Linked DNA regions of Sus scrofa. The protein of the gene in region 6 interacts with the protein of the main gene of each other region in a pairwise test. Links are inferred from orthologs where the notes say so. Each region holds a gene or a part of one and is shown on either strand. Other genes may lie near its edges. The genes, in order: LRRFIP2, PAK5, FSBP, SORBS2, PKP4, ATPAF2 and LZTS2.

Region 1 (3,764 bases), on a different chromosome or scaffold from region 6:
AAAAACTGAAATAGATTTAGTTTATTTAAACTGAATAGGCTTACTTTGTGGCCTTGTTTTAAATTCTAATGTAGATGAATCGGGGTTAACACTACTGGGAAAATTCTCAAACTACTCAATAGTAGTGTGACTTCAAATATCCCCCTCCAATTATCTAAGATAATTCCATAGCAAAACATGTAATTAGGAAGGATGCTTACAGATGACACAGGGATGTGGAAAATGAGAGTGTCACGAAGTCACCATGTGCAAAGTGTTCTAGAAGTCACTTTGCCCAAAACGGGGGAGAGCAGTACCTCGTCACCCCTTGAAGCACAGTCCTCATCACCCCTGCAAACACACAGGCTAGAAGCAGCCTCTTCAGGTCCATGACTGATCAGGACGGCTGTTCTGGTCTGGCCAAGGACTGACCAATCTCAGAACATAGCTTGAGAAACGTGAGCCGTGGGATCTAGTGCCCGTTCGCACCCCACCTAGGACACAGCCCGCCCCACGTGGAGTGGTGCCCAGCCCAGTCCTACTCTGCATCTCGATGAACTGCAGGTCTGAGCCGTTCTGCAGTCCTGCAGGGTCACCCGCCACGCCATCGTTCCTGGAGCACTTCTGCTGCTCTTCTTCCAACTGCAGCTTCAGTTTTCTAACCTGAAGAGGAAGTAAAGGCTCACCAGTGAGATCCAGTCTCTCAAATGAAACTGATGCTCAGCCCAGTGGCCACATCTTAGAGCAAGGCCGCATGTATTCCTTCAGAAGCTGTTTTCTGCAGGGCCTGCCATGCGGGACACTACTCAGTTGCTGGAGAGCAGCTACGAACAGATTATCAAAAGAGGCTCCAGGACTGGGGGTCCCAAAGCAAACAGCCATGTTTTGTTATTTGTGGAAAAACACATCTTCTGTGTATTTTTTTGTTGTTATTTTTATTAAAAATGGAAAATCCCATGGGCAGTTAGATGTTTCAGAGTTAGGTTAAATATTCTTATTTAGAAAACTGTATAGAGAAATAATTGGAAATATATTTTTGAGTTTGGCTATGTAATCTACCTTATTTTACCCAAAATAAAGGCCATTCATAGCAGTATTCATTAATAGCCAACACAAGAAATGTCCATCAACAGAGGGATGTGCAAACTGTGGTGCAAATATGCAACGGAATCACTACTCAGTAGAAGAGAATGTGCTACCAATACATGCAGCAACATGGTCAATCTCAAACTAAATCTATGCTGCGTGAAAAACCCCAGAAAATGCAAACTGAAGGGACAGAAAGCAGATCAGCAGTTGCCTGGAGAAGGGGAGGGAGGTGGGAGAGAAAGGAAGGTATACAAAGAAACACAGGAACTTGGGGAGTTACAGATATTTTCACCGTCTTGATTGTGGTGATGGTTTTACAGGCTCTGCCACAGGTTAAACTGTTGTCCCCTCCTATGTAGCAGTCCTAACCCCCAGGACCTCAGAATGTGACCTTATTTGGAAACGGTCACTGCAAGTGCACTTAGCTGAGAAGAAGTCGTACTGGAACAGGGTGGGCCTCTAGTCCAGTATGACTGGTGTTCTTAGAAGAATACCATCTGAAGATATGGTATATACACAGGGAAGGCATGTATAGACACCGAGGATGCCACCAGAAGCTAGAAGAGAGGCGTTCTCTAGCTGACTTCCCATCACAGGCCTCAGAGGAAACTCACGCTGATAACACAGGACTGTGGGCATCCCATCTCCAGACTGTGAGACAGTACATTTCTGTTCTATGCCAGCTGGTCTGTGGTGCTTTGTTATGGCAGCCCAAATACGGGTATGGACATCTGTACACTTTAAGTATGTGCAGCTGATTTTATGCCAATTATTACCTAATAAAGGTTTTTTTTTTTTTTTAATTTACAAAATAAACTAAAACATAACATTAGGAAGGACACTGGGTTGGAATAAAAGAAGGCCCAGTCAGAGGCAGGAGTCCCACATGTGGAAAATAAGGTGAGATGAACAGAGACGAACCGCATGCTGAGGCCTCTGGTCCACCCTCAGTGCGCACGCTGCGTGCAGCTGGGCCTATAGCTTCAGGCAGAAGACAGAGCTCTCTAGAATTCTGACTAGACTAAAATAAAAGACAATATGCTCACATTGAAGGTTCCTGACAAAAACATCAGCCTCATCAATCTTCACAGAAACTTGAATGAGCCCCACCCACAAACTCAGAGCTGCCCACCAGCTTTTTAGTATTCTACTTTCAAAGTGAAGACAAAAAAAATACATAAAACAGCATGTAGAAGGAAACAAACTATGCAGATAGAAAAAAAGAATTAAGAAGCAAACCAACCAGCCCATCAATATCCTATGAGATATATGAAAATATCTGAATCATTGAAATGACTGCAGAAATTGAAACCCAACAGAAATGAGAAGATAAAAATCTTTTAGAAAGCAGAACAAAAGAGATGAAAGGGGACAGAAAAACAGGAAAGAAGAGTAAGAAAGTGAGAGTATATGTCTCAAGGACTAAACCACTCCTCCAACAGAAATCAAAGCCCCAAATGCCAACAACTCAACTTCAGAGATGCAGGAAGCAGCACAAACCAGAGCAAGTCTGCCCTCTCCTACAGGGGAGGATCATTAACCCATTATACCACAGTGGGAACTCCTGTGATTTCCTTCTTTAAAAGAAAAAGATGGGAGTTCCCGTCGTGGCGCAGTGGTTAACGAATCTGACTAGGAACCATGAGGTTGCGGGTTCGGTCCCTGCCCTTGCTCAGTGGGTTAACGATCCGGCATTGCTGTGAGCTGTGGTGTAGGTTGCAGACACGGCTCGGATCCCGCGTTGCTGTGGCTCTGGCGTAGGCCGGTGGCTACAGCTCCAATTCAACCCCTAGCCTGGGAACCTCCATATGCCTCGGGAGCGGCCCAAGAAATAACAAAAAGACAAAAAAAAAAAAAAAATTAAAATTAAATAAATAAATAAATAAAAGAAAAAGATGAATGACAATGATTACAACAAAGAATTCTAAACCCACACCAAACTATTTATCACGTAAGAAGGTAAAATGAAGACATTTTTAGTCCTGCAAAGTACAGCCCCCAAACTTTTTCCTCAGGAAGCTACTGGGGGATGAACCAAAACAAGAGAATGAAAAAAGGAGGAAGGGAGTTCCCGTCGTGGTGCAGTGGTTAACGAATCCGACTAGGAACCATGAGGTTGCGGGTTCGGTCCCTGCCCTTGCTCAGTGGGTTAATGATCCAGCGTTGCCGTGAGCTGTGGTGTAGGTTGCAGACGCGGCTCGGATCTTGCGTTGCTGTGGCTCTGGTGTAGGCCGGTGGCTGCATCTCCAATTCGACCCCTAGCCTGGGAACTTCCATATGCCGCGGGAGCGGCCCAAGAAATAGCTAAAAAGACAAAAAAAAAAAAAAAAAAAAAAAAAGAAAAAAGGAGGAAGGCATAAGACACTGCCAAAGGGAAGCTAGCCCAAACCACGGCCGTGGGTCAAGGAAACAAGAGATGACAGTGCAGAGTGGTCACAAGGGAGTAGCCATTAAGCTCAGAGGGGATGAGTCAGATGCTCCAAGAACCAAAAAGAGGGAGCTGAGGGAATACTTGGTGCATCTGAAAACATTCAACCACTGCTGGAGTCTGCCGCCAGATTGGGAACAGAGAACATAAGAAATCAAGCAAATGAAGAGAAAACTCACAATACAAACTTTAGGGGAAGAAAGGAAAGGTGAAGGAGATGAAAGGTGATCCTAGGACACTCCATGGCTCCACTGGAAGCAGTGTGTAC
Region 2 (3,764 bases), on a different chromosome or scaffold from region 6:
ACCTACTGCACCCAGCCAGGGATCAAACCTGTGTCCTGATGCTGCAGAGATGCCGCTGATCCTGCTGTGCCACGAAGGGAAAAATCCATGTATTTATTTCTAATCTGTGACTTCCTTGAATGTATATATCTGAGCCTTACCCATTTGTTATCTTTTGTATTACCAGCATTTAGGAAAGTGCCTGGCACATAAAAAACGATCAATAAATACTTGATGAAATGACCACAACTGGAATACCAGGGAAGCAAGTAGCTGAGGCAACAGTGGTAATTAACCACTGTTCTCTGCAAGAAGACTTAAAAACAGAATTGAAGAATTTCTCTCTTCTGTTGTTGTGACATAAAACTTTGATCTTTCGCCTGCCCCTGCCTTCCATAGGTACCCTCAGTGCTATCAACACACAGCAAAGGAATAGTGACTCAGGAGAACGAAACTGAGTTTTAGAAATCTGTGTAGGGATGGGAAATTCTATTATTTTTCACTGAAAATTCATTCTCAGCAGCTTGCTGATTTAAAATTAATGGGTATCTGACAAAACTGTACTTCAAAAAGGTACATGTACCCCTATGTATAGAGCAGCACAATTTACAATAGCTGAGACATGGAAGCAACCTAAATGTCCACTGACAGATGAATGAATTAAGAAGATGTGATATATACACACAATGGAGTACTACTCAGTCATAAAAGGGAACAAAATAATGCCATTTGCAGCAACATGGCTGAAACTGGAGACTCATACTAAGTGAAGTAAGTCAGAAAAAAGAAAGACAAATACAATATGATATCACTTATACCTGGAATCTAATATATGGCACAAATGAACCTATATACAGAAAAGAAACAAACTCATGTACTTGGAAAATAGACTTGTGGTTGCTAAGGAGGAGAGGGAGGGAGTGGGAATGGACTGGGAATTTGGGGTTAGTAGATGCAAACTGTTGCATTTGGAGTGGATAATCAATGAAATCCTGCTGTACAGCTCAGGGAACTATATCTAGTCACTTGTGATGGAACATGATGGAGGATAATGTGAGAAAAAGAATGTATATATGTGTGTGTGAGAGAGAGATAGAGACTGGGTCACTTTGCTGTAGAGCAGAAATTGACAGAACTCTGCAAATCAACTATAATAGAAAAAACAAAAACCTTAAAAAATAAAATAAAACCAATGGGTATCTGACAAAACTGTAATTCAAAAAGGTATATGCAGCCCTATGTTTATAGCAGCACTATTCACAATAGCCAAGACATGGAAGCAACTTATATGTCCATTGACAGATGAATGCATTAAGAGGATGTGGTACATATACACAATGGAATATTACTCAACCATACAAAAGAACAAAATAATGCCATTTGCAGCAACATGGATGTAACTAGAGATTCTACTAAGTGAAGTAAGCCAGACAGAGAAAGACAAATACCATGTGATATTACTTATATGTGGAATCTAAAAAATGGCATATGGGAGTTCCCATTGCGGCTCAGCAATAATGAACCCAACTAGTATCCATGAGTGGGTTAAGGATCTGGCATTGCTGTGAGCTTTGGTATAGGTCACAGATGTGGCTCAGATCCTGCATTGCTATGGCTGTGGTGTAGGCCAGCAGCTACAGCTTTGATTTGAGCCCTAGTCTGTGAACTTCCATATGCCTTGGGTACAGCCCTAAAAAGACAACAAATAAGTAAATAAATAAATGGCACAAATGAACCTACCTACAAAACAGAAACAGACTCACAGACGTAAAGAACAGACTGGTGGTTGCCAAGGGAGTGAGGGGATGGAGTGGGAGTTTGGGGCTAGTAGGTGAAAACTATTACATTTAGAATAGAGAAGCAATGAGGTGCTACTGTATGGTCCAGGGAACTATATCCAGTGTCTTGGGATAGACCATGATGGAAGATATATAAGAAAGAGAATGTACATATATATGTAGGACTGGGTCACTTTGCTGTACAGCAGAAATTGGCACAACACTGTAAATCAACTATACTTTAATAAAAAAATAGAGTCATATTGATAGAGAAAAAATAAAATGTATTATCAAAACAATTAAAAAATAAAAGTAATCAATGGGCATCAATGAATTTTTGGAGGGTGAGGAGATATAAATGGAATGAATGAACTATACACACATGATATTATAATGGGCACCTGAAGAATACAGAGGAAAAGGATAGTCATGTCTCTGCCTTCAAAGTGCTTACAAGTTATGGAGTGTCCATCAAGAGAGTCACTGAAGCCCACCCCAGAGGAGACAAATAAGACCTTGAATGATCTGTCTGGATAATATAGAAACTTACCTGGTATGAGTAACGATGTCTGTCAAGGCACCGCCTTCTAAAAATTCCATGACCACCCAGAGCTCATCACTGACAAGGTAGCTGTTGTACATGTCAACCACGTTGTCATGGTGATAATCCCGCATTATCACAACCTGGGCAAAATGGAAAGATAGTGTTTGACTTGGGACAGTGAAATTTGGCTTTTTCTTTTCTCATGGCTCCACTTGGGCTGTGAATTCGATTGATGGAGAAGCACGGATTTTGGGGGAGGGTTTTTTTTTTTTTTTTCTTTCAGAAGTCTATTACAGATGATGGGACAGCTTTGAGAGTAGCTAGCAGGATCCGAGGGAATCAAGTTTGTAAATTCAGAGAAGGTGGTAGGTCCACCAGACATTGGGTTGAGGGGAGAACAAGGAGAGAAAGCAGGCAGAACCATGGCAAGGTGTACATTCACGAGAGGGAGTGTAGTTGACCATTCTTGGGAATGTGGTTAGCTAGCCCAAGGGTTGCCTTTTAAAATACACTGTTCAGGGGAGTTTCCATTGTGGCACTGAGGAAACGAATCTGACTAGTAACCATGAGGTTGTGGGTTCAATCCCTTGCCCTGCTCAGTGGGTTAAGGATCCTGCATTGCTGTGAGCTGTGGTATAGGTCACAGATGCAGCTAGGACCCTGCATTGCTGTGGCTGTGGCGTAGGCCAGCAGCTGTAGCTCTGATTCAACCCCTAGCGTGGGAACCTCCATATGCTGCAAGTGCAGCCCTAAAAAGCAAAAAATAAACATTAAAAAGTTAAAATAAAATGCACTGTCCAGAGTTAAGGATCTAGTGTTGCTGTGAGCTGTGGTATAGCTCGGATTTTGCGTTGCTGTGGCTGTGGCGTGCGTTGGCAGCTATAGCTCTGGTTAGATCCTTAGCCTGGGAACTTATATATGCCGCAAGTGCACCCTAAAAAGAAAAAAAATGCACTGTCAATACTCTGCTAATGGTTAACTGGGGAAAAGGTCATCAGCTCAAGGATAATGAGTCTCACAAATGAACAAGGTAAACAGTTATTAGGGCTGGAGCCATATGGGACCACTTGAACTTCTTGGGAGGACTGGGGTTGAGTCTGAGAGAGGTTTGGGCTGAACAAAAACAATAAGTCTTACAGGTAAAACCATTATGACTTAGCATAAAAAGGCCAAATTGTGTTTGCTTGCTGGAGAGAACGTCCAGGAATTGCTGTCCTATGGCTGCTTCTGGTGACATTTTTAGAATGAGTGTTAAATAATAAATTATACAGTTTGACTATATTATATTTGCCCTATCTGTTTGGGAACTGTGATGTGGAAATAAGATCCAGAAATCAGGAACTGGGGACTGGAAGAAGCTGAAGCCCATTTACCCGGTCCACAGTTCCTAAAGACCCAGTCCACAGTTCCTGAAGGCTCCTCATGAGATATGGAGTAGGGAAAAGAAATGAACATCATGACAG
Region 3 (4,297 bases), on a different chromosome or scaffold from region 6:
GCCTCACTTTTCTAAGAATGCAAAACAAAGACACTATTCACTCTCCCCTAGTGGGGATGCTTACTATGCATACCTCTATCACATCTAAGCCAGAACCCAATAGATAGGAGGCGCCATAATTTTCCACAACAAAATAAAATAAAGCTTACCTTTGTATGTGGTTCCTGTCTCTTACCAGGCAAAAACTGGAAATCTGGGGAATCATCTCCATAACTTTCTTGGTTGGCTCAGAAATATTGCTTTTAAAATCTGATTGGGTCTCTTTTTGCTGCAATAGCTCCTGTTTGGCATATTCTTTGAGCCTTTTGTAAAGAGTGCGTAGGCCCTGCGCTGTTCGAGGAGGGCGGTCTACTCCAATTGCATTATAGTTAACTGCTATGATATCCCAACATCTATTCTTTTCCACTATTACTGAATGTTTGTTAGTGTGTTCTTCCAGAATTTTAACATATGGCTTCACAAGCTTTAGCAAATCAAGCTTTTCAGGTAAGGTAAAATTGGAAGATCTAGCTTTTCCTACCATTGTTCTTTTCAAATTAAGTAGGCAGTTTCTGAAACCACCATGCAGCCTTCAGCTATGCTCAGCTCTTTTCACAAACAGAAAAAGATCAGGCTTAACTAGGCTAGCCTCATTTAGGCCCACGCCTACAGGGGAGGGTTTATTAAAATTCCTCCAGCTTAAGCTGACGCAGGTTCAGGAAATCTGCTTAAGCCAAGCCTGACCTACATAAAGCTTCTCACTGAAGAAGACAGGAAGGCACAAGCAAAACACACTTGTGTATAAAGAGAACAGCTCGAGATAGGATTCAATACACAAAGGTCTAGAGATAAGCATGGAGCACAGCTAAAAATTAGCTAATTTAGTGAGAATATCGAATTTCAACACGTTTGCCTAGCTGATTGACTGAAACTGCAGTGCAGTATCACTTTAATAAAAACAAAAGAGGAACTGTTTTGTGCTATTTGTTTATAAATCCAGTAGACAGAAAAATGAAAAACTAAAGATGTGAGTGGTGAATGTTAGTGATTCCTAACAGAGCCCCTAATCACTGTTTCTGAGCTGCTGTTCTCTCTTACAAAATCTGCATAATGCTGGTCCTGCTGTCAATCAGGAATTACATATCCTCTAGCTAGTTAGGTTACACCCAGCTCAGACTCCACAGTAAAGCTAAGCTTCTCCTTCATTTTACAGTCTACAGTAGCCACCGCGTTGTTTTCTTCAGTTACTTAAGAAATTTTTGTTGAACACTAAATCTAAAAAACAGATAAAAATTAGGGTTTTAAAGCAATGGATTATTCCAGCTGTAACGTACATAAATATGCTAGCCTGCTTTACCATGTATAAAAAAACACCATTCACAGTGAGAACAGCATAATAATGCCTTAAGACTGAATACAACAAAATCGCATTTGCTATTGTTGTAGAGGAGGATTTTTATTTAGCTATATTCACGCAATTTGGACTATGAAAGGAAACAGCTAGTTGTAGTCATTTGCAAGGCCACCAATTTATGTGCTTAGAGTATATGTTCTAATCCCTGTCTGAAAAAGTGATAAATAACAATGTAAAGAAATAAGCTTATTTTCTCCTGATATACGTGTTTGTCCGATAGGAGAATGAATTAGAACATACTTGAACACAGTTCCATTCAATCAAACAATTACTGAACCCCCATTAAAAATGTTCCCAAGTACTGAGCAAGGTCCAAGGAAAACAAGTGAATCTAGATACAGCCCTATCCAGAGAACTACAGTTCTACAGAAATGCCATAAATTTTCAATTGCCTTCTTTTTCGTTCTTTTAATGGAAGAGAATTAAATTTACTGAATTCTCACTATAAGCCAGACAATACGGTTAAGAGCTTTAAACGTGTTATCTGTCAGGGAAAAAAAAAGTGAAAGGTTGCTGGGAGCTCTATGGAATGCTAGGTGTTTTCTGACATACCCTACTAAGTAATCTCATTCTTTAGTAGTCCTAGCCTTTCATTGTTTTTGAGCAGTTTTTGTTGAGTAAAACTGTACAAAATAGTACTGTAAATGATTCCTGTCATAGAGATGCAAACTGAAAACTGACCTGCTCCAACAACCTAACCAGTTACTCAAAGGAAAACAAGAACACAGAATATATCCTGTCTTTAAATAACATTTTATTTTTGGAAGAAATATGGGCATTGTGTTAAGAATGAAATACTAATAGAAATATGAAAAAAGTTCAATCTCACTGTCAAGGAAATGTACACACCCTTAAGATCAGCAAAATTCTTAAAGACTGAAAATGTCTGGAGTGGATGAAGATGCAGAGCAAAAAATACTCTTGTGTACCGCTCACAGGAGTGTAAAATGGCATTTGGGATGGCAATTTAAGAGTATATATTAATAGTTTACATGTGTAAAAGCTTCTGAAATTGCAGTAATTTTACTTTTCAGAATCTACCTTGAAAAATACACACCAAACACCAACAAAGCCTTCTTGGCAGTTGCACATCAGTTGGGACAAGTTAAAGTCACTAGAGTATATCCACACTATGGTCTACTGTGGGCAGCATTAAAATAAAGAGGCAGATTTGCAGCATCATGGATGGATGGAGAGATTATCATACTAAATGAAGTAAGTCAGAAAGAGAAAGACAAATACCATATATTGCTTATATGTGGAATCTAAAATATGACACAAATGAATTTATCTATGATACAGAAACAGACTCACAGACATAGAGAACAGACTTGTGGTTGCCAAGAGGGAGGGGGAAGGGAGTGGGATGGTCTGGTTGTTTAGGGTTAGAAGATGCTAACTATTACAGAGAGAGTGGATAAACAAGGTCCTACTGTATAGCAGAGGGAACTATATTCAGTATCCTGTGATAAACCATAATGGAAAAGAATATGAAAAAGACATTGCAGATCAACTATACTTAAGTAAAATAAATAAAAATTTAAAAATTAAAGCAGATTTCTATGTATTGACAAGATCCAAAATACATAAGTGAAAAACAAGTAAAACAAAAATACATACAATCCCATTACGCTTACCAAAAAACACCCAAGGCCAAATATTTCTGTAGGTACGGAAAATACGTATGTAGCTACAGAATTCAGGTACATATGTATGAAAATGCACTCCAAAAAGATCTAAAACTCCACCAATTATAGGAGTCATGAGTCACATGTGCCTATCGAGCATTTTAAATGTGGTTACTGGGACTGAGAGATTAAATTTTTAATTTTATTCAATTTTAATTAAACAACATTTTTTAACTGAAGCAGCATATTTTTCCATTACCCACAACTTGTTTGCTTATGTAGAATCCTCCTACTCTTGACCCCTAACCAAATTCTTCATACACTTATCCTTAACACCTAACCAAGCTCCACTTAGTAATTTTCCACCCACTGACTCCCTTACCCTGCCTGTTGGCTATAAATCCCTGTTGTATTAGGAGTTGACTTCAATCTCTCTCCTTTATTGTAATAGTCTTGATTAAGTCTTCTTGCCTGTTTAACTTACCTGGTACAATTTTTCTTTGACATTACACATAGTCACATCACCATCACCTGTTTAAATTATTTTTTCCTATGCACTGATGTAACTTAAATGGATCACTCTGAATATTTTATTCAGACAGCACATATTATAGGCTACTCTTCATCAATTTTAATTGATTACTAACTGAATTATTCTGTCTTAATCATATGTTATTTTTCTAGCTGAAAAAATAAGAATTTTGTAATATAAAAAGTATACCATTTATACAGAATCAAATGCAGAGGCCAAAGTTACTACTCTTATTGGAACAATAAAGAAAAAGAGAATGGAATAAAGCATATGGCAAATGTTACACTGGACACCGAATGCAATCTGCTACAGCAGAACCACAGGAACAAGATATTTAATGAAAATAAAGAAAATAAACTAGACGATACTCAGAGACACTATCAACAAATACATAGTAAATATGACAGGCAGTTCCCTAAACAAATAAAAATTAATATTTAGTCACCTCAAATCAGAATTAAACATCCAGAATTTTTTTTTCTTTTAGGCCACACCCATGGCATATAGAAGTTTCCACCCTAGGGGTTGAATCGGAACTATAGCTGCCAGCCTCCAGAAATATATATATATATATTCTTTTTTTTTTTTTTTTGCTATTTCTTTGGGCCGCTCCTGCGGCATATGGAGGTTCCCAGGCTAGGGGTCAAATCGGAGCTGTAGCCACTGGCCTATGCCAGAGCCACAGCAACGTGGGATCCGAGCCACGTCTGCAACCTACACCACAGCTCACGGCAACGCCGGATC
Region 4 (4,200 bases), on a different chromosome or scaffold from region 6:
ACTGATAAAGTGTCATGTTGATATTTTTTAAATAACTGATGTTATCTGCTTACTGAATACTTTTCCTATGAAAATCACTGAACGGTCATTTCCTTCTATTGGGGAAAAATGACTCATGCTCCTCACTCTTTTGTATCTTTTTTACATGGTCAAGTATTCATATTCTTTAAATGGCTAGGGATTAAAAAAACTCAATCCCATTGGTTAATTTAAAACCTTACTTTATCTATACGTAGAACTTATTTTGATACACAGTCTCATCTGAACAGATTCAAATACAGAGGCTCTAATGCTACCCACCTAATATGGAAGGACCTGGAACGCAGACTAGAACATTCTTCCAAGTGGAAAACAGCTCAGATGGTTAATGCAAATGAGGAATTTCAATTGGCTTTGAACATAGCATAATGCAAAATAACCATCTCATAAATTACTTTCTCTCGTATCTGTGTATCAAAATATTTATAAAATGTCTTGCACTGTCATACCTAACTAAGCCTCTTGGTATTTACTTTTTCAGTAGGATTCTCTTTGTCTTAACACAAAGTCAGATGCAGTGACTAAGCACTGACTTAGAAAGTGGACTTTCTCTCTCTCATTCTGACTCTGTCTCTGTCTCTTTTTGGATATACAGTCAAATTAGTGTGAAGATGGAGGACTAAAAAATATCACACAGATTATTATGGTAAATTGTGGATAGTAAATTCCACAATCTGATATGTGATCTGCTTTCTTGAAAAATATGTGCATTTAAAACCAACCCAATTTACAGTTGAGGAAGTCAAAGTTTCCTTTTAAAAGTTATCTATGAGTAGAAAATGGGAAGTTCAATGGAGATTGATGAGCTTATAAATTGTCTGTTTAGGAATAAGTAACTCCAGGGTATTCTGCAAATCTCTAAATTCAGAACAATCAAGGGAACCCATGAGCTTTTAGGAAAACTCATTCCCTTGGAAGATAATCTCAATACTGTGTGTGGATCGGAAGAGCATCCAAGTGTGACAGAAAGAATGTGAAAAAAAGAATGAACACTGTAAACCAACTATAATGAAAAAATAAAAATCATTATATATATATATATATATATATATATATATATATGAATGATCTATTATAGGATGGTCATAGTACTTAGGAAAAAGAAACTTGTGGGTTTAAAGTTCACATGGACCAAAGTGCCTGAATGATAGTGAGGGGTGATTAGTCCTCCATGCTCTGACCTCACTCAGAAATAGCCTGGACCAGGTGGGCCAGTCTGGGCGGTAAGAACTCAGGCCACGGCCCTGCATGGCCCCTGCAGAGGGTGAGTGCTGAATCTGGGGACTGAAGTGTGTGCTTCAAATTTGGGATGCACACATGGAAGCTGCCTCTTGCTCAGAGATGACCCATGCCCAGTAGTGGCGATTGTAGGGTAAGCAGTGTCCCCAGAATCATATGTTGAAATCCTAGTTCCAGCACTTAGGAAAGTGACCTCATGTGGAAGTAAGGTCCTTGCAGATGTAATCAAGTTAGGATGAAGCACAGAGGAATAGAGTGGGTCCCAAATCCAATGACTGATGTCCTTATGAGTAGAGAGAGATCTGGAGACACATGCACAACAAAAAGGAGCACTACCACGTGACAACAGAAGCAGAGATTGGAGTGATGCTGCCATTAGCCAAGCAATGCCAAAGATTTCTGGCAACCACCAGGAGCAGGGAAGAGGCAAGGAAGCATTCTTCCCTAGAGCTTTTAAAGCAGTGTGACCCTGCTAACATCTTGAATTCAGACATCTAGCCTCAGAACTGCCAGACAATCGATTTATTTTGTTTTAAGCCACTCAGTTTGTTGCTCTTTGTTCAGGCAATGCCAGGAAATGAGTACAAGGACTACAAGGTACCCTTTAGGCATCTCTTCTTTTGCAATCCAAGGTTGCAACAATTTGCCTTGAAGGGGTAAGAGAACTACTCAAGGTTTCCAAGGGGAAGGGGGTAGGTTTGGGTAGATTCCTCTGTGATGAGCTAGATGAACAACATATGGTGGAGTCCAATCCAGATCACATCTGGCCAGGGTGACTTCAGAAACAAAGAGGGTCAAGAAGCCTGGGCATTGGCAGGTGAAGCAATCCAACCAGCCTGAAGCCACAGACAGTGACATCCAGGTGAGGGCTTTGCTGTCCTGTCCACCACTGGAGCCTAGTTGAGCCAGGTGGAGAGCCAGGGAAAATTCCACATGGGCACATGGCTTGGAGGCCCACAGCAGTCCTGCCATCAGGGGTGTTCGTGGTGATAAGAGACTTCCCTGTACCCCATGAAGTGTCAGTGAGCAAGAAGCTTCCACTCGCTATAGCAAATAGGACTATAGGGCCTGCCTGTAACTGAGAAGCAGCAGGTGGGAGGATTTTTAGGACAAGGGTGGGGCCTGGTTCTAGTTTCCTCACAGATTTCCTAAGACCCTCCAGCCAAAATATTTCGTTCTAAAATAATGCAGAGTAAAGAATTCTAAAACCACCCATCTGGCCTTTCCCTGCCTCACTTCCTCCGATTTCCCCCCTGGCCTCCTTTAAATCAGCGCAAATCAAGGGCATGTCTGCGGAATCTCACCAGAAATTCCGCTGGGACAGGATAGGAATGGATGTCAAGGGGAGGTTAGAGGAGCCTCGTATTCTTTGGCGCCCATCATTTTATTTCCTTGACTTCCCTGGGAAAACATTTTGTTAAAACACATGCCTTGATTCCCGCCTGGCCTCGTTAGCCCCAGGCAGCCGCGGTTCCCATGAGCACAGCGTACCTTCTGAAGAAATGCACCCAGATCAGAATGGTATATGAGTCTGTCCTATTCTGGCTCTAGAAAAGAAACGTTACAGTAAATAAGTGGGCGGGATTGGCACCGCAATCACAAAAACAACCAAAACAGCAATGAAATCAAACTGAGGAAAACTTAACTTTAGCATCATATATACACTCTTTGACTGAGTTGGACTGTACTTCTGCAAGAAACAACTGCAAAAAGGAAACTGTGCAAAGAGTTGTCATTATTTTTGGTGTGTTGCATACTGCAGTTAACCGTCAGAATTAAATAGAATTGGGTAGATTGGGGGTATTTTCAGGTGGGTCTCAGGTGGGCTGAAGCAGGCAGCGTGGCTTTGGCAACCCTGCGTTGTTTTGCTAATTCGTTCCTACTTTCTTTGCGCTTTTTCTTGAAAACAAACTTTCTCCAACAAAGCTTCATCACCACATTTTCATAGAATGAGTAGGCCAAGACTATAGTGTTTGTAGGGTTTATACCCACTATTCCGTCTCCTCTTTGCTTTTCTAGGCCCACCACCGTCACCAAGTGCCAGGCTACCATCCCTCTGCCCACAGCCAACTCCTCCTGCACGGAGGCCCCATCAGGCCCCCCTCCTCAAAGGGTCCTTTCTCCCAGCTCTGGTCCTTTCTTTACAGTTTAAACCTCTGTCGGCCAGACGCTTTGCACGAATTGAAAATCGCCTCTGGACTACTTCCATCCTTAAAAGGGGTGCAGGAGCTTACCTGACCATTTAAGGTCCCTAAAAGAGGCTAACGGAAGTTGCACACACTTTCCTCTCACAGGTAAATTCATTTTAAGCAGGTTATCTGTATTTTTGAAACATAGGATTGACCCCATGGGCAGGAATTTCGGACCAGCTAGGATGCGAGGCTCACGGGGTGTGGGGAGCTACTTGGGGGCTGGTGGGAGCTGGTCAGAGGTCCTCATCTCTTTTTCAGGAGGCAGTTGCCCAGCCAGCCTATTTCAAGGGATGACCCTGGTTTTAGGGGGAGAAGTGGTACCTGTTTCTGCAGATAAATCAATCCTCTCACAGCCATAAATACTCCATTTTGATATTCTTGGAGATTTGCTTCAAATGAATCATACTAGCTCTTTTCTTCCCTTCTGGGCAGAATACTATTTGCAGACATCGGCAAATTTGGGAAAAAAGCTTGTTTCCTAAGTGGAACCATTCTGAAAACAAGGGAAAAAGGCAAACTGCACACTCATATGCAACCATTCCCCCTGAATATCCCCAAGTTTTCATTGTGTTTAAACTACCTGTTTATAAATAATATCTGATGAAAACCTCATTAAAAATGTATCTGCTTCTATGTTAAACTTTAGTTAAATTTCCACTCCTGGACTATATCTTTAAAGTATTTGAGTGTGTGTGTGTGTGTGTGTGTGTGTGTGTGTGTGTGTTTGTAT
Region 5 (3,764 bases), on a different chromosome or scaffold from region 6:
GCAGTAGGTAAGGAAATCCACATTTTAGTCTGCACTATTAAGGCATTTAAAAAAACATTTTTTTTTTTTTTCCTTTGAGGGTTGCACCTGAAGAAAATGGAAGTGCCTGGTTTAGGGGTTGAATTGGAGCTGCAGCTGCCAGCCTCCACCACAGCCACAGCAACATAAGATTCAAGCCATGTCTATGACCTACACCACAGCTCACGCAATGCTGAATCCTTGATTCACTGAGCAAGGGCAGGAATCAAAATTGCATCCTTACTATGGACACTAGTCAAGTTTGTAACCCACTCAGCCACAATGTGAACTTCTAAAAAAAAAAAAAAAAAAAAATTTGAACAGACATTCTTCTTCTTCTTTTTTGGGGGGGTCTTTTTAGGACTGCACTTGTGGCACATGGAGGGTCCCAGGCTAGGGGTTGAGGAGTTACAGCCGTTGGCCCACGCCACAACCACAGCAACACCAGATCTCAGCTGCATCTGCGACCTACACCACAGCTCATGGCAAGGCCGGATCCTTAACCCACTGAGTGAGGCCAGGGATCAAATCTGTGTCCTCATGGATACTAATCAGATTCATTTTCACTGAGCCATAATGGGAACTCCTTGAACAGGCATTCTGACGACACCTTTTAACATAACTTATTGGTTTGGGTATGGGTAGGCCTAGCTAGTGAGAAATATTTCACTATGAAAAACTTCAACAAACAGTTTACAACTCCAACCAATTCTTCTAAAATGCAAAAAAAAAAAGTACCTTGTATATCCTAATATTATAGGGGAAGGGGTACATATATTCATTGTAAAAGAAGTCTGATGATATAAATAAATATATATGTATATATAATTAGATGCATTAAAAATTAGAAAGTCTGAAAGACAAGTCAGCCTAAGGTCTGCAGTATAAATTCTGAGATAAAAATATAAGCTTTTCCCACATTACGGCGATGTGGAAGCCTTTTCTATTTCAGAGAGGCCTCACAGAAGATTTCCCCACTGGGCTGTGTGCAGTGCTGTCACCTTGTACTCACCTGTCAGGCTGTCTGGCCGAGGTGGAACCATCCTCTCGTAAATGTCATACTGCTGCTGTCCGAATTGTTCCATGTCATGAACAGTCCTCTGCAGGGAAGGTCCCAGATGCTGTGGTACGGCGGTCATCCCTGAGCGTTTGGGGGATGATGACCCCACCTGGCCTTGGGATGGGGAAGCTACTCGAGTCTGTGCATCCGTAAGGGTCAGCGGGGACCCCACTCTGGTGGTGGTTTGGTACTGAGGGGTTGGTCCGTTGGGGTTGGAGGTCTGCCGGGAGGTGACTGACCCAATCCGACGTACAGCTGATGGGGAGGCGGGTCTCTGTGCAGAGTACGGAGAGGCTGCCCGCTGAGCAGGTAGCGTGGTGGAGGAGTACGCACTGGGGTTCAGTGGTCGGGAGTCGGTCACTGATGGAGAGCCAAAGCCACCACCCAGAGAAGTTCTCAGTGACCCCCTTGAAGGAGACACGCCTGTGCTGATAACATAAGAAGGAGACTGTGCTCTAGATGGAACTGAACTAACTCTTCTCATGGCCCGATTGGCTACTGATGGCTGATGAAAGGGGGAAAAAAGAGAATGGGTTTATCCAGGGTTTTGTCTCCATTGTCATTACAGAAAAAAATGCACACAGCTCACTACAGAATGTGCACTCACTATTTAGTTTAGGCTTCTAAGTTTCTTTTCCTTTCTATGCTTTAGAGCTGGATCTTAATTTTTCCTTATTCTTTTTTTTTTTGGTGATTAAACCCTTACGTTCTCCCTTCGGCATACTAAAACCAACCAGTAAAGAGAGATCTAAAGACAGTTAACATTCCTTTTACGTTTGTCTTTACATTTTTTAACCCTCTGCCTATTCATTCTCCACAACACACAATATGTTGTATTGCAAGTGTGAAGGGTCACTGGAGCAGTATACTTATGTGGTGCCTGTGAGTTAAAGTTTGGCGAAGATAATGCATTTGTGTAAAACAAACAAACAAAAAATGTTTTCAATACGTTAATCTAAATATAGTGAGAGGAGTATCTATAATTGTCTTTAGAACTGTCTTCATGGATTGGCCCCCATTAACAAAAGGAATGTACTCTTTCAAAGTGGAGTAACTGAATGTTTGGATAGGGCCTGGGGTGCAGTACTCTTCTCTGTCAATTTACTCTCAAGGGACAACTTGGGTGCACAGGCGCTTTAGCCAATCTGTCTCTTCTTTTAGCTCAAGTGTGGCTGCTAGTGATTTCAGCCGTTTCTACATCCTTTGATTTATAAGCTTTTAATTTTAGCTGGTGGATTTAAAGAGACGCATGTCAAGGTGCCCTCAAATTTGTTCCAGCAAAAGGAATGCTCAAAATCTCGGCTGGGTTCTTGGCCTAGCCAGCTGGAAAAGACCATACTGGGAAATGAAGAACATTTCTGCCATGACTGGTCCTTTTTTGAATCTGTAGACTCTTCCAGACTGAGTCTCAGATCCTTTCCTTGATGCAGCAGAATAATGAATGGTGGCTGGACTGGGGCACTGGTCTGATGGGACCAGGCAGGGACATGGACTCTAGGACTGGGTGGCTTGGTATCTCCCCAGTGACTGCTACAGTACAGGTGTCATCAACCCCACTTTTAGCCGGGGTAAGAAAGGAAGAAACAGGGATAACTTAAGGACTCTCTTTGTGTCCAGGTGTCAGAAGCAGCTGGCTGGCTGAAACACCTGCTCTAAGACCACTTGTGTGCTCAAACTCAACAATTCTGGGAAGGCAATAGCTGTGGAGATCTGGGGAGGGGACTGTAAATACACAACAAGAAAGAGGGGGTATAAAAATTAGTAGACCATTGGAAAAAGAACTGCTTTTGGGGTTTACTAATAGTGCAAAAGGTGATTTTTAAAAAATTCCACATATTAGCTGTTTACTATCAAAAATGGGATGACACTTGGCCCAGATACTTAGAAATTGTGATGCCAAGACTATATGCAAAAGCAGTTTTATTGCAAAAGCAGTTTTAAAGACCCTCTTGCAATCTTCAGCTCCAGGAACAAAATCATCTTGCTGTAAGTAAAAAAAAAATTAAATAAAAAGGTAACATGACCATTTTTAGGGACAAAATGGATAATCTCTATAGTTAATTAGTATTCAGAAACGTGACTTTAGACCTGCTGATGCAGAAAATTCACCTAAGCACATGAACTCCTGTAAGGACTTAGTCCAAAGCTTCCCGAACTCTTCCATCAGAAGAGTAAATGTACCTCTGAGGAACAGTGGTGCTGGGGTGGGATAGTGGAAGTAGGGGAGGTGGTGGAAGTAGGGGAGGTGGTGGGGCGTGGTACAGCTAGAAGTAGTTTGCTAGGGGTACAGGATTTCCTATCTTAGCTTAAGAACTCATGTATCATATTTGCATTTGCTTTAATACAGAAACGCTTCTTAATGCTTAAAAATTTCCCTTAAACTGTTGGGCCAAAGTTATACTGTGTTTCTCCTTTGGCACTGGGAATCCTGGCCCACTGCTGTGTGTACCTTCAGGGCTTCCTATATTGTACTAAGAGAAGCTTAGTGTTTGCCTAATTTTTTTGATCATCTTGCCACTTTTCTGCTCCAGAGAAATCGCTAGGGTACTTGGACAGACAGTCATCCTCACTGGTTACTGCTAGTTGGGACTCGTAGCACTTCTATTAATTCTGGTGTATGCTGGAGGATTGATGGGAATAAAGCAGCAGTGAATGCAGAGCTCAAGAGTTTTTATAAATGCATATG
Region 6 (4,269 bases):
CCCGACGTGTGCTTCTGCCGCGATGCCGGTGGAGTTCCAGACCTCCCACGGGAGAGAGTGTCACAGCAAGGCCCCTCGTGCCCCGCTGTCACCTCTGGGCGGGTTCTAGGTGCCCAGCACTCGCCCTCCTCCTCCCTGCTGAACCCCTGCCCATCTGTCAAGACTGAGCTTGATCTCCCCTCACCCGAGACCCTTTCTGGACCCTCAACACCACGAGAAGGGAGCAGGTGTTCTCTGTACACTCCTCTTCAAAGGCCCGGAGAGGCTCTGGTCCCAGCAGGATGTTACGACCTTCCGCACTTGACAGTGAACACCCTCTAGGTGGAGGCCGCCTCTCTCCTGAAGGCCTCGGTGCCTCCTGCCCTCAGCACAGAAACACTAAGCCAAGGGAAGAAGAATGTGTCTCTCACTCCAGGGAGTGGCTCCCGGGGAAGGACTGGAGCGCCCCTTCTCTCATGAAAACAAAATGACAGCCAAATGCTGAACAACCTTCAACCAAACGAACTGGAACCTCTCAAAAAGATACCCTCCTCCAGAAGACAAAGAAGAGGCCACGTCGCGGGGCAGGAGGGGCGATTACGTCATATAAGCAACCCCATCCCTCCCGGGTGGGAAGCTCCACAGACTGGAAAGTAACTATCACAGAGACTCACCTATGGGGGTGAGTTCTGACCCCCGCGTCAGTTCCCCACGCCTGGGGATCTGGCACTGGGAGAAAGAGCCCCTGGAGCATCTGGCCTTGAAGGCCAGTGGGGCTTGTGCATAGGACCGGGGGAAACGGAGACCCCATTCTTGAAAGGCGCACACAGGCTTTCATGTGTACTGGGTCCCAGGGCAATGCAAAGGCTCCATAGGAATCTGGATGGGACCTGGCTGCAGTTCTTGGAGGATCTCCTGGGAAAACAGGGGGTGACTGTGGTTCATGGTGGGGGAAGGACATTGCAGGCAAAGGTCTCCAGAATATTCAACGGCATTTGTTCCTCTAGATGTGGCCACTTGGGGAAAATCTGGCCTCACCCATCAGCCCCAGGCCAAACAATAATCCAGGTGGGATCACAGCCCCAACCATAAAGACCCCCCAGGCACACAGCCACCTCTAATCTTGCCCAGAGGCAAAGCCCCACCCACCAAAGTGAAAAGAATCGGCCCCACCTACCAGTGGGCAGGCACCAGTCCCTCCCCTCAGGAAGCGCAAGGCAAGCCCCTGTACCAACTTCAGCCACAAGGGGGGGGGGCAGACATCAGAAGTAAGAGAGGCTACAGCAAAAAAAGACACCACACCAAAAACCTATAAAAATGAAAAGGCAGAGAATTATAATTCAGATAAGAGAGAAAGAAAAAACTCCAGAAAAACAGCTAAAGGATCTGGAGATTATCAGCCTCTAGGAAAAATTCTTTAGACTGATGATGCTGAATATGATGCAAGACATTGGAAATAAACTGAAGGGAAAGACTGATAATTTACAGCAAACATTGAGCAAAAAGTACAAGATTTAAAACTTAAGCAAGCACACATGCAAAATACAATAACTGAGATCAAAGATTCATTAGAAGCAACCAACAGCAGAATGCAGGAGGCAGAAGAACAAATAAACGAGATGGAGGGCAGACTAGTGGAAATCACTGATGTGGAACAGAAAAGAGAAAAAATATCGAAAAGAAATGAAGACAGTCTAAGAGAACTCTGGGACAATGTTAAACACACCAACATCCATATTATAGGGTTGCCAGAAGGAAAAGAGAAAGGAACAGAAAAAATATTTGAAGATATAATAGCCGAAAACTTTCCTAACATGGGAAAGGAACCACTCCCTCAAATCCAGGAAGCACAAGGAGTACCATATAAAATAAACCCAAGGAGGAACACCCCAAGACATGTACTCCTCAAACTGACTAAAATTAAAGCCAAAGAGAAAATAATGAAAGCAGCTAAGGAAAAGAAACAAATAACATATAAGGGAACCCCGATAAGGTTATTAACAGATTTTTCAGCAGAAACTCTGCAGGCCAGAAGGGAGTGGCACGATATACTTAAAGTGATGAAAGGAAAAAACCTCCAACCAAGATTACTTTACCCAGCAAGGCTTTCATTCAGGTTTGAAGGAGAAATCAAAAGCTCTACAGATAAGCAAAAGCTAAGAGAAATCAGCACCACTAAACCAGCTTTACAACAAAGGCTAAAGGAAATCACCTCTGCTCTTACCCTAAAACCCTCTCCCCAGAAGCAATGAAAGAGCCACTACCTTTTAAGCTTCAGAGTCGCAAGTGTAGGAAGAAGGCACGGAGTGTCAACTCCCTAGTAGAGATAGCAGGGGTTGTGGGAGGGCAGTAGGAGGAAGGGCCAGACATCTGCGGACAAAGTGGCCGGGATGGACGACTGAAAGCCTGGGCTCTGGGCTCCTTCAGTGCCAGGGTCGCAGGGACACAGAAAGCCCGGCAGACCCGGCCCTTGCCTCACAAACCTCTCAGAGAGTCTGCTCTGTGACCTTGGCGCGATCCTGACCGAGAATCCTAATATCCCCTGTCGGAGAACAGGAATGACATCTGCTTCCCTAAGAGAAGGGACGAAAGCCGCAGTGCAAAAGCAAACGACTGTCTCCAGCCGCGACGCGCGTGTGCCCTGGGGCGGTCCCTGCCCTTGGGGCGGGGGACTTTCCCCCCGACCTATGACCCTGCTCTGCCACACCGCCCTGCACTGCCCACCCCTCAGCCCGGCTCGGACCTGGCCTCCCTCACCTGCCGGGGGCGCGTACGCCCGGGCGGGGGTCGGGGGACTGGGCCCCCGCCCCTCGGAGGCGATGAGGCCACCCCGGGGCCGGTTCAGGAGGCGGCGTCCCCCGTCCCGCAGCCGGAGGCAGGTCCTCCACATCGCGCGGGGACCTGGGAGGACGACCGCGCAAGATCTGAGGGCAGGACACACGGGACGTAGCGACCTCGCCGCGCACTCGGGACACACGCAGCTTCTCACCGGCCGCCGGCGTCCTCAGCATCCCTGGGCGCCGCCATGTTGTGCACGACACTCGCGGCGCGCCGTCGCCGCGCTCCCCCGCACGCCGCAGCCAATCAGCATCACAAACGCCTCGGCCCCGCCCCCGCACCGCACCTCCGGAAGAAGACTACAAGTCCCAGAGAGCCTCGGCGCCTGCCACGTGCTGTCTCCGCCCGCCAATGGGCGGAAGCGCAGTGCCAGCCTGCTCCCGCCCCACGGCGCGCCCAAGCCAATCGGAAGGGGTGTGTGTGCGAGCGCAGGCGGGGAGGGGGCTCGCTCAGGACCCGGAGGCCCCGCTCGCAGGTCCCGGGGTCCCGGTGGCGGCCGGAGCGCTCGGTCCGCAGGCGGCGGGCAGGTGGACCCCTCCCGCCCCACGCGCGCGCTGGCCTGCCCCCGGCCGCCCTCCTCGGCTCCCGCGCGGCGGCGGCGGCGGTTCCTCCCCCTCCCCCAACCCTGGCTCCGGGGGACCCCGCGATGCCGGTCCGCACCGAGTGTCCCCCGCCGGCCGGTGCCTCGGCCGCTTCGGCCGCCTCGCTCATCCCGCCGCCGCCCATCAACACCCAGCAGCCCGGCGTGGCTACTAGTCTGCTCTACAGCGGCTCCAAGTTCCGCGGCCACCAGAAGAGCAAGGGGAACTCGTACGACGTGGAGGTGGTGCTGCAGGTGAGTGCCGGGGCCGGGCCTCTCGCGGCGCCCACGGGCCGGGCCTCGCCGCCGCCGCCTCGAGCCCGCGGCCGCCGACAGGCCTTCGGTCGGCCTCCCCCGCCCCGGCCTGCCCGGAGCCCCACCGGGCCCAAGCCGGCAATCGGCCGCCTCAGACCCGGCCCTTCTTCCCTGTGGCCTGTCGCCCCAGGACCAGCTCTTCCTCCAGCCCCTCTCCGACCCTGTCGAGCTCTCCAGTGGCTTCCCCTGATTCGGGACCCTCCCAGACCCGAGGCGTGCCTCCTCGCCACGCTTTCCTCGTCCCCCCGGGAAGCCTCAGGCCCTGGGGCCCGCCTCCTCCTGCTGGGATTTCCTCCTTGTCAGAGCTTAGTCAGCCGCCTCCCTCCGTCGTCCCCTGAGCCCGAGACCCCCCCCCCCCCAGCCCACCCTGGTTCCTGCCCCACCCCTCAGGCCGGGCCCTCTGAGTCTGTTGGGAGCTGGCCTGGGAGCCTCTTCCTGGCCAGGCCTCCTGCCCAGGCTTCTCAGAGTCCCTTCCCCGGTTCCCTGGCCACTTCCAGTCCACTCCCAGTCTCTCTGGCCTGTCTGCCCAGACCTCCCCGTCCGGTATCTGTGTTCTC
Region 7 (4,554 bases), on a different chromosome or scaffold from region 6:
TCTTCTTGCATCCTCTCAGCGTTTATGTTAATGTGTGTCAGGACTGGGGCTCCTGTTTAAAAATGCAGAACCTAGGCCCTGCTGTCTCCCCATTCCTCACACGCACAGGCATTTCTAATTCTGGAGGTTTCAGGAGATGTACAGGACTCCTCATGTGTAAGAAGTCCTGAAAGAAATTAGACGATAATTTATCCAGAGACCCTGACAAATATTCCTAAATAATGACACTTTTCCATTTCATTTCCTCTGATATCCCGAAGTGCCCGTTTCCTTTTAGATTTGCCTGCAGAAGTGGTGAGAATGCAAGCTGTTTTAAAGGGGCTGGGGAGAAACCTTTTGTAGAGGGGGTTGGGGGAGGTTTCCTGCTCCCTGGAAGCAGGGCTGCCTTATCAAGGTCTCCCTGTAACCTGAGAGGAGGCTCTGGACCCCTGTGGGATGGATGGTCTGGGGTCTCTGGTCTGTGGTGTGTGAGAACTGTGACTGCAGTTGTCTTCTGAAACAGACCCTGGAGCAAAGCCATTCCCTGGGGGGGAGGGGGGAGATCCTCCAGGGCCTCCCTTCTTGGGGGTCTCTCCCAGACTGGCTGGAGCCAGCTCTCCTAATCCCACAGTAATCATTCCCAGCCGCTGGCTGGTCTAGGCCTCATCCAGGGGCTACAACACTGAACATCAGCCATGCCTTCCAGATGCACCCCACCAGATCAATGCTACCTAGAAAGGTGTTGGTCTGGTCTCCCTAGAATGCCTGGTGTGTTCTCAGGAAATACTTTAGGAGTTTCCATTAGGGAACTTTTGCGAGGTGTCTGTGTGAACTGGCTATAGAGGAATAGATACACACTTGCCCGGCTTGCCCCACCCTCCTAGCAGACACCACCACACTGCACAAACCAGCTCGGGGGAGGGGAAGCTAATTCTCCCCCAGCCCCACCCCGTACACAAGCACATTCCATTCCACACCTGTCTTAAGCTCCTAGCATCAGAATTAGCCAGAAGTATGTTCCGGAGTAACTGCAGCCTAGAAAGTGGCAGGTAATCCCTAGTTCCTGGGTAAGGTCCCTGGGACTCCCTGTCCCTGTACTCAGCCAAAGTGGATTGAGGCAAATCACCTGGGCTAGAACCAGCATTCCATGTGCCCAGTTGGACATTTAGAACCTTCCTGAGAGCTGAGGAAGAGCCTGACAGAACAGGGTCCCTGGATCTGCAGCGCTGTCTGCTGTCTTCAGACTCATTGTCACACTTAGCTGTGTGGGGGCAGCTTTGGTTCTCCATCTTGCATTTGAGAAGGGACTAAACTCACAAGACTCCGGCTACCCAGGGCTCAGGCTGCAAATACAGCCCAGATACCTGTAGACAGCACAGTCTGCCCTCACAAAGGCCACTTTGGGTGCCATGGAGGGAGGGAGCCCTTGGTTCCTCCCTGCAGTACAGGTCAACTTCCTGTTTGTGCCTGTGGGTGGAACTTTTACGAGTCTAGGAGAAGCGTGGCCATACTCTGTGGGGGCCCAAACCGGCAGGCCGGCTCACCTGGGCCGACACCTACTCGGGGAGGGGGAGGTGCTGGTCCTCAAGGGCAGCCCCAACGCCGAGGTGTGTGTGTGTGAGGAAGGCGGGGTCTGTTTTGGTGAAACCCGAGCCTTCTTTGTCTGCTTCCCAGGGGTTTTCCCCATCTGGGGACTGGGCTGAGCATGGACCAGGATGGGCTCCCTAAAGCGCTGAGGAAGGTGGCTGTAAAGCCCTACAGCCGACTTGGTTAGGACAGCCAGCCAGCTTAGCTGTCACGTGCCACTGGCCCCTTCCCCGAGCTGAAAGACAAATGCTGTAAGGTGTGAAGTCAGAGGCCAGAGGAGCAGTCCTGGGCCACCATCGAGCCACATCTGGGCTGGGCACTGGGTCGGTTGTTGAGGGGGTGCTGCGCAGACCACTCCCCTGTCGGGGTCGGGGGCGCGGCCTCAGCCGCCCCGCCCCGCTCCTCCAGGCCCGGCCGGACGGGCGCTGGGAGTCCGCAGCCCGGAGCGGGCTTGGGAGCCGGCCGATCTGCGGCGAGGAGGTGCTGGCGCTGGAGCAGGAGCCGGGAGGGGAGCTGGAGCGGCGGCGCAGGTGGCCCTAGGTGAGTGCGTGGTGGGGCCGCGGAGGTGTCGGAACTCTAGCTCCTGCACAGCCCCGCGCCGGAGCGAACTTTACCGGTCTTGGAAGGTTGGGGGTTGGAGTGAGGAGGGGAGTCCCCAGTGCAGGAGGCACAAGCGAAGAGTGTGAACAGGGAACCTACACGGAACCTCACACTCACGGGTCCAAACACGCGTACACACAGACCCACGCGCGCACCTGAGACAGACGAACACACGTGCACCCTAAAGAGGACGCGCCCAGTGAGCTGTGCCTGCCGTCCCTGGAACAACGCCACTGGCCCGCGGGACCCCCAGCGGGCAAGGCGCGCTGCTGCCGCGTACTTGACAGGGGTGGGAGGAAAGACCCAGGGACCGCCGACGGGGGCGGGCCGGGTGGGACAACTCCAGAGGTTCCTGCTTTCCGGCAGCCCGCAGGTGAAGACTAAGACGTAAACAGGAGCCGAGCACGTGATCGTAGCGCAGACCTGTGGGCTGTGCTCCCCCCACCCGGGCCTCAGGGCGGGAACCGCCCGCCCCGGTGCAGGACGGGCTTGCAAGGTACCTGGCCGGGCTGTAGTCCATTCTCCACCTCCCCCGGAAGGAGAACACAACGCCCCCTGGAGTCGGGTTAGCGAAGGAGAACAGGAGGCTGTTGGTCTGGCCTGGGGTTACCTGGGCTCTTCGCCCTTCCTTCTCCCCAACATGGTGCCCCATCCCTGAAGATATTGGGGGCGTGGGGGCGATATTCTGGATGGCAGCGTATAGCAGCCAAGGGAGCAGCTACGGCAGCGCCTGTGGGTGCCCTTCCTACTACCACCCCTCCCTGCAGAGCTAGGAGCTCCTCCTTGCAATGTAGGAACAGAAAGCCCACGCATGCAAGAGTGGGAGTCCCCCTTCCCCAGAGAATGCAGGAGCGTGCACATCTCAACACCAGAGAGGGCCTGTCTCCCTCCCGTAGAAGGGAAGACAGCCCCCTCCCCCCAGGGCATGAAAGTGGGCATCGGCCCTCGGCCTCCTTCCTCACCCCACCCCCCACCCCTACACGCACGCTGAGCCCAGCTGCTGCCTGAGCTTCTGGGCTGGCTGCCAGAAAGGGGAGGCGGCTCCTAGTGCCCCAGGAGGCTGGGATCAGGGCAAGGCCAGAAGAGGGGGGGGGGGTCTCTACCGGAGTGGGACTCAGTCTGTTCTTGTGAGCAGAGGGTCTAGGGTGAGCCTGCGGGTGGCTGAGCTGTTTCCCTTTCCAGGGAAAAAGAAAGAAAAACAATCCTTTCCATAGAGCTAAAAATAGAGCTGAGAGCCTGCCAGGGCTGTGGCCTGGAAGGGGGGGAGATGCTCCTTCCTGGGGTAGAGGAGCTGTGGCAGGCCTTGGCCCTGGATGGGGCGGAGTTAGGGGCCTGGAGGCTGTCCTTGTACAGCCGTGTGGGCATCAGCTGACCTGACTGGGTCACAGAGACCCTACGGGAAAGTCTGTGTGATAAAATGTTTGTGAAATACGTTGTGTACATGTAAGAAGACGTTTTTTGACTGTGAATAAGACTGTCAGTGTGTGAAAAATGCTTAGGAGACTAAGTGTATTTAAGATTGTGACTGGGTGCGAAGGACTTCGAGCTGTGAAAGCCTGTGTACAACTAGGCATGTGAAACGAATGTCTCTGTGTGTTGGCCTGAAAGATTATGGGAAGAAGAGACATGGAACCTCGTGATGAAAAAGACTGTATGATTGTGGCTGTGTGAGACTGTGGGAAAGGTCGTGTGGGTGTTAAGACTGTTTTGTTTGCCGAGCTGAGAATATCCGTGACCCTGAGAAGACAGTGGGATGTTGTGTGCTACGCGGCTGTGTAGGTTTGGCCTGTAGGCTTGGATGGGCTCACCTCAGTGACTGTTGGGCCCAGGGGCTGCTTCTCTCGGATCAGTGGCCTCTCTCTTAGGAAATGACTCTGAGGGAAGGCTGGGGAGCACTGAGCCGCGCTGGGGAAAGGCCTAGGCTTTCTAGGGTAAGGTCCCCCAAGGTTGGCGGTGACCGAGTGTGTTCTCCGAATGGGCCGCCAGGTGGCGCCACCTCCACAAATCCAAGCGTGCCTCCTCCAACCGGCTGCGGGTGGGGCAGACACCCACCAAGCCTTGGCCCCCGACTTGTGCTGGGGCGCAGGGCCCCGAATCGGGGGCAACTGACCCTCCGCCGCCCCCTCTGGACTCCGAAGCTGGAGAGTGTGTCTGGGGGAAGAGGCATCGACGAGACAAGAGAAGGGGGAAGGGCGGCCGCCTCGGCGCCTGGCCCTTTGTGCTCGAACAATGACCAGCTGCCGCTGGCCCCGGGGCCCGGGTAGGGGTAGAGGGTGACCTGCCGCCGCCGCCGCCTAATCCTGAGCCGACCGAGACCCCAGACACTGGCCCTCGGAAGGAGGGAGCCTGAGTCCCGCCGCGCAGCTCCTGCGTGTTGCCCGCCGGACA

Evidence for each region.
Region 1: the proteins of ATPAF2 (region 6) and LRRFIP2 interact in binary tests that used the Homo sapiens proteins (3 or more experiments, as listed by UniProt). The two-hybrid records come from large-scale screens. The link is inferred for Sus scrofa from reciprocal best matches to the Homo sapiens genes ATPAF2 and LRRFIP2.
Region 2: the proteins of ATPAF2 (region 6) and PAK5 interact in binary tests that used the Homo sapiens proteins (3 or more experiments, as listed by UniProt). The two-hybrid records come from large-scale screens. The link is inferred for Sus scrofa from reciprocal best matches to the Homo sapiens genes ATPAF2 and PAK5.
Region 3: the proteins of ATPAF2 (region 6) and FSBP interact in binary tests that used the Homo sapiens proteins (3 or more experiments, as listed by UniProt). The two-hybrid records come from large-scale screens. The link is inferred for Sus scrofa from reciprocal best matches to the Homo sapiens genes ATPAF2 and FSBP.
Region 4: the proteins of ATPAF2 (region 6) and SORBS2 interact in binary tests that used the Homo sapiens proteins (3 or more experiments, as listed by UniProt). The two-hybrid records come from large-scale screens. The link is inferred for Sus scrofa from reciprocal best matches to the Homo sapiens genes ATPAF2 and SORBS2.
Region 5: the proteins of ATPAF2 (region 6) and PKP4 interact in binary tests that used the Homo sapiens proteins (3 or more experiments, as listed by UniProt). The two-hybrid records come from large-scale screens. The link is inferred for Sus scrofa from reciprocal best matches to the Homo sapiens genes ATPAF2 and PKP4.
Region 7: the proteins of ATPAF2 (region 6) and LZTS2 interact in binary tests that used the Homo sapiens proteins (3 or more experiments, as listed by UniProt). The two-hybrid records come from large-scale screens. The link is inferred for Sus scrofa from reciprocal best matches to the Homo sapiens genes ATPAF2 and LZTS2.

Annotation. Positions count from the first base shown.
Region 1 is NC_010455.5:21,781,741-21,785,504, reverse strand, and holds part of LRRFIP2 (leucine-rich repeat flightless-interacting protein 2), read right to left. Parts: intron 643-3,764; coding exon 522-642; intron 1-521. UniProt on the Homo sapiens protein: May function as activator of the canonical Wnt signaling pathway, in association with DVL3, upstream of CTNNB1/beta-catenin.
Region 2 is NC_010459.5:18,481,847-18,485,610, forward strand, and holds part of PAK5 (serine/threonine-protein kinase PAK 5), read right to left. Parts: intron 2,442-3,764; coding exon 2,308-2,441; intron 1-2,307.
Region 3 is NC_010446.5:42,301,999-42,306,295, reverse strand, and holds the start of FSBP (fibrinogen silencer-binding protein), read right to left. Parts: upstream 2,925-4,297; 5' UTR 524-2,924; coding exon 150-523; intron 1-149. UniProt on the Homo sapiens protein: Transcriptional repressor that down-regulates the expression of the fibrinogen gamma chain. Represses transcription of GSK3B gene promoter via its interaction with APBA1.
Region 4 is NC_010457.5:46,724,655-46,728,854, forward strand, and holds the start of SORBS2 (sorbin and SH3 domain-containing protein 2), read right to left. Parts: upstream 2,826-4,200; 5' UTR 2,770-2,825; intron 1-2,769. UniProt on the Homo sapiens protein: Adapter protein that plays a role in the assembling of signaling complexes, being a link between ABL kinases and actin cytoskeleton. Can form complex with ABL1 and CBL, thus promoting ubiquitination and degradation of ABL1.
Region 5 is NC_010457.5:65,619,661-65,623,424, reverse strand, and holds part of PKP4 (plakophilin-4), read right to left. Parts: intron 1,584-3,764; coding exon 1,031-1,583; intron 1-1,030. UniProt on the Homo sapiens protein: Plays a role as a regulator of Rho activity during cytokinesis. May play a role in junctional plaques.
Region 6 is NC_010454.4:60,616,411-60,620,679, reverse strand, and holds the start of ATPAF2 (ATP synthase mitochondrial F1 complex assembly factor 2), read right to left. Parts: upstream 3,039-4,269; 5' UTR 2,870-3,038; coding exon 2,737-2,869; intron 1-2,736. UniProt on the Homo sapiens protein: Plays a role in the assembly of the F1 component of the mitochondrial ATP synthase (ATPase).
Region 7 is NC_010456.5:112,076,545-112,081,098, forward strand, and holds the start of LZTS2 (leucine zipper putative tumor suppressor 2), read left to right. Parts: upstream 1-1,666; 5' UTR 1,667-2,106; intron 2,107-3,283; exon of another isoform or gene 3,284-4,426; intron 4,427-4,554. UniProt on the Homo sapiens protein: Negative regulator of katanin-mediated microtubule severing and release from the centrosome. Required for central spindle formation and the completion of cytokinesis.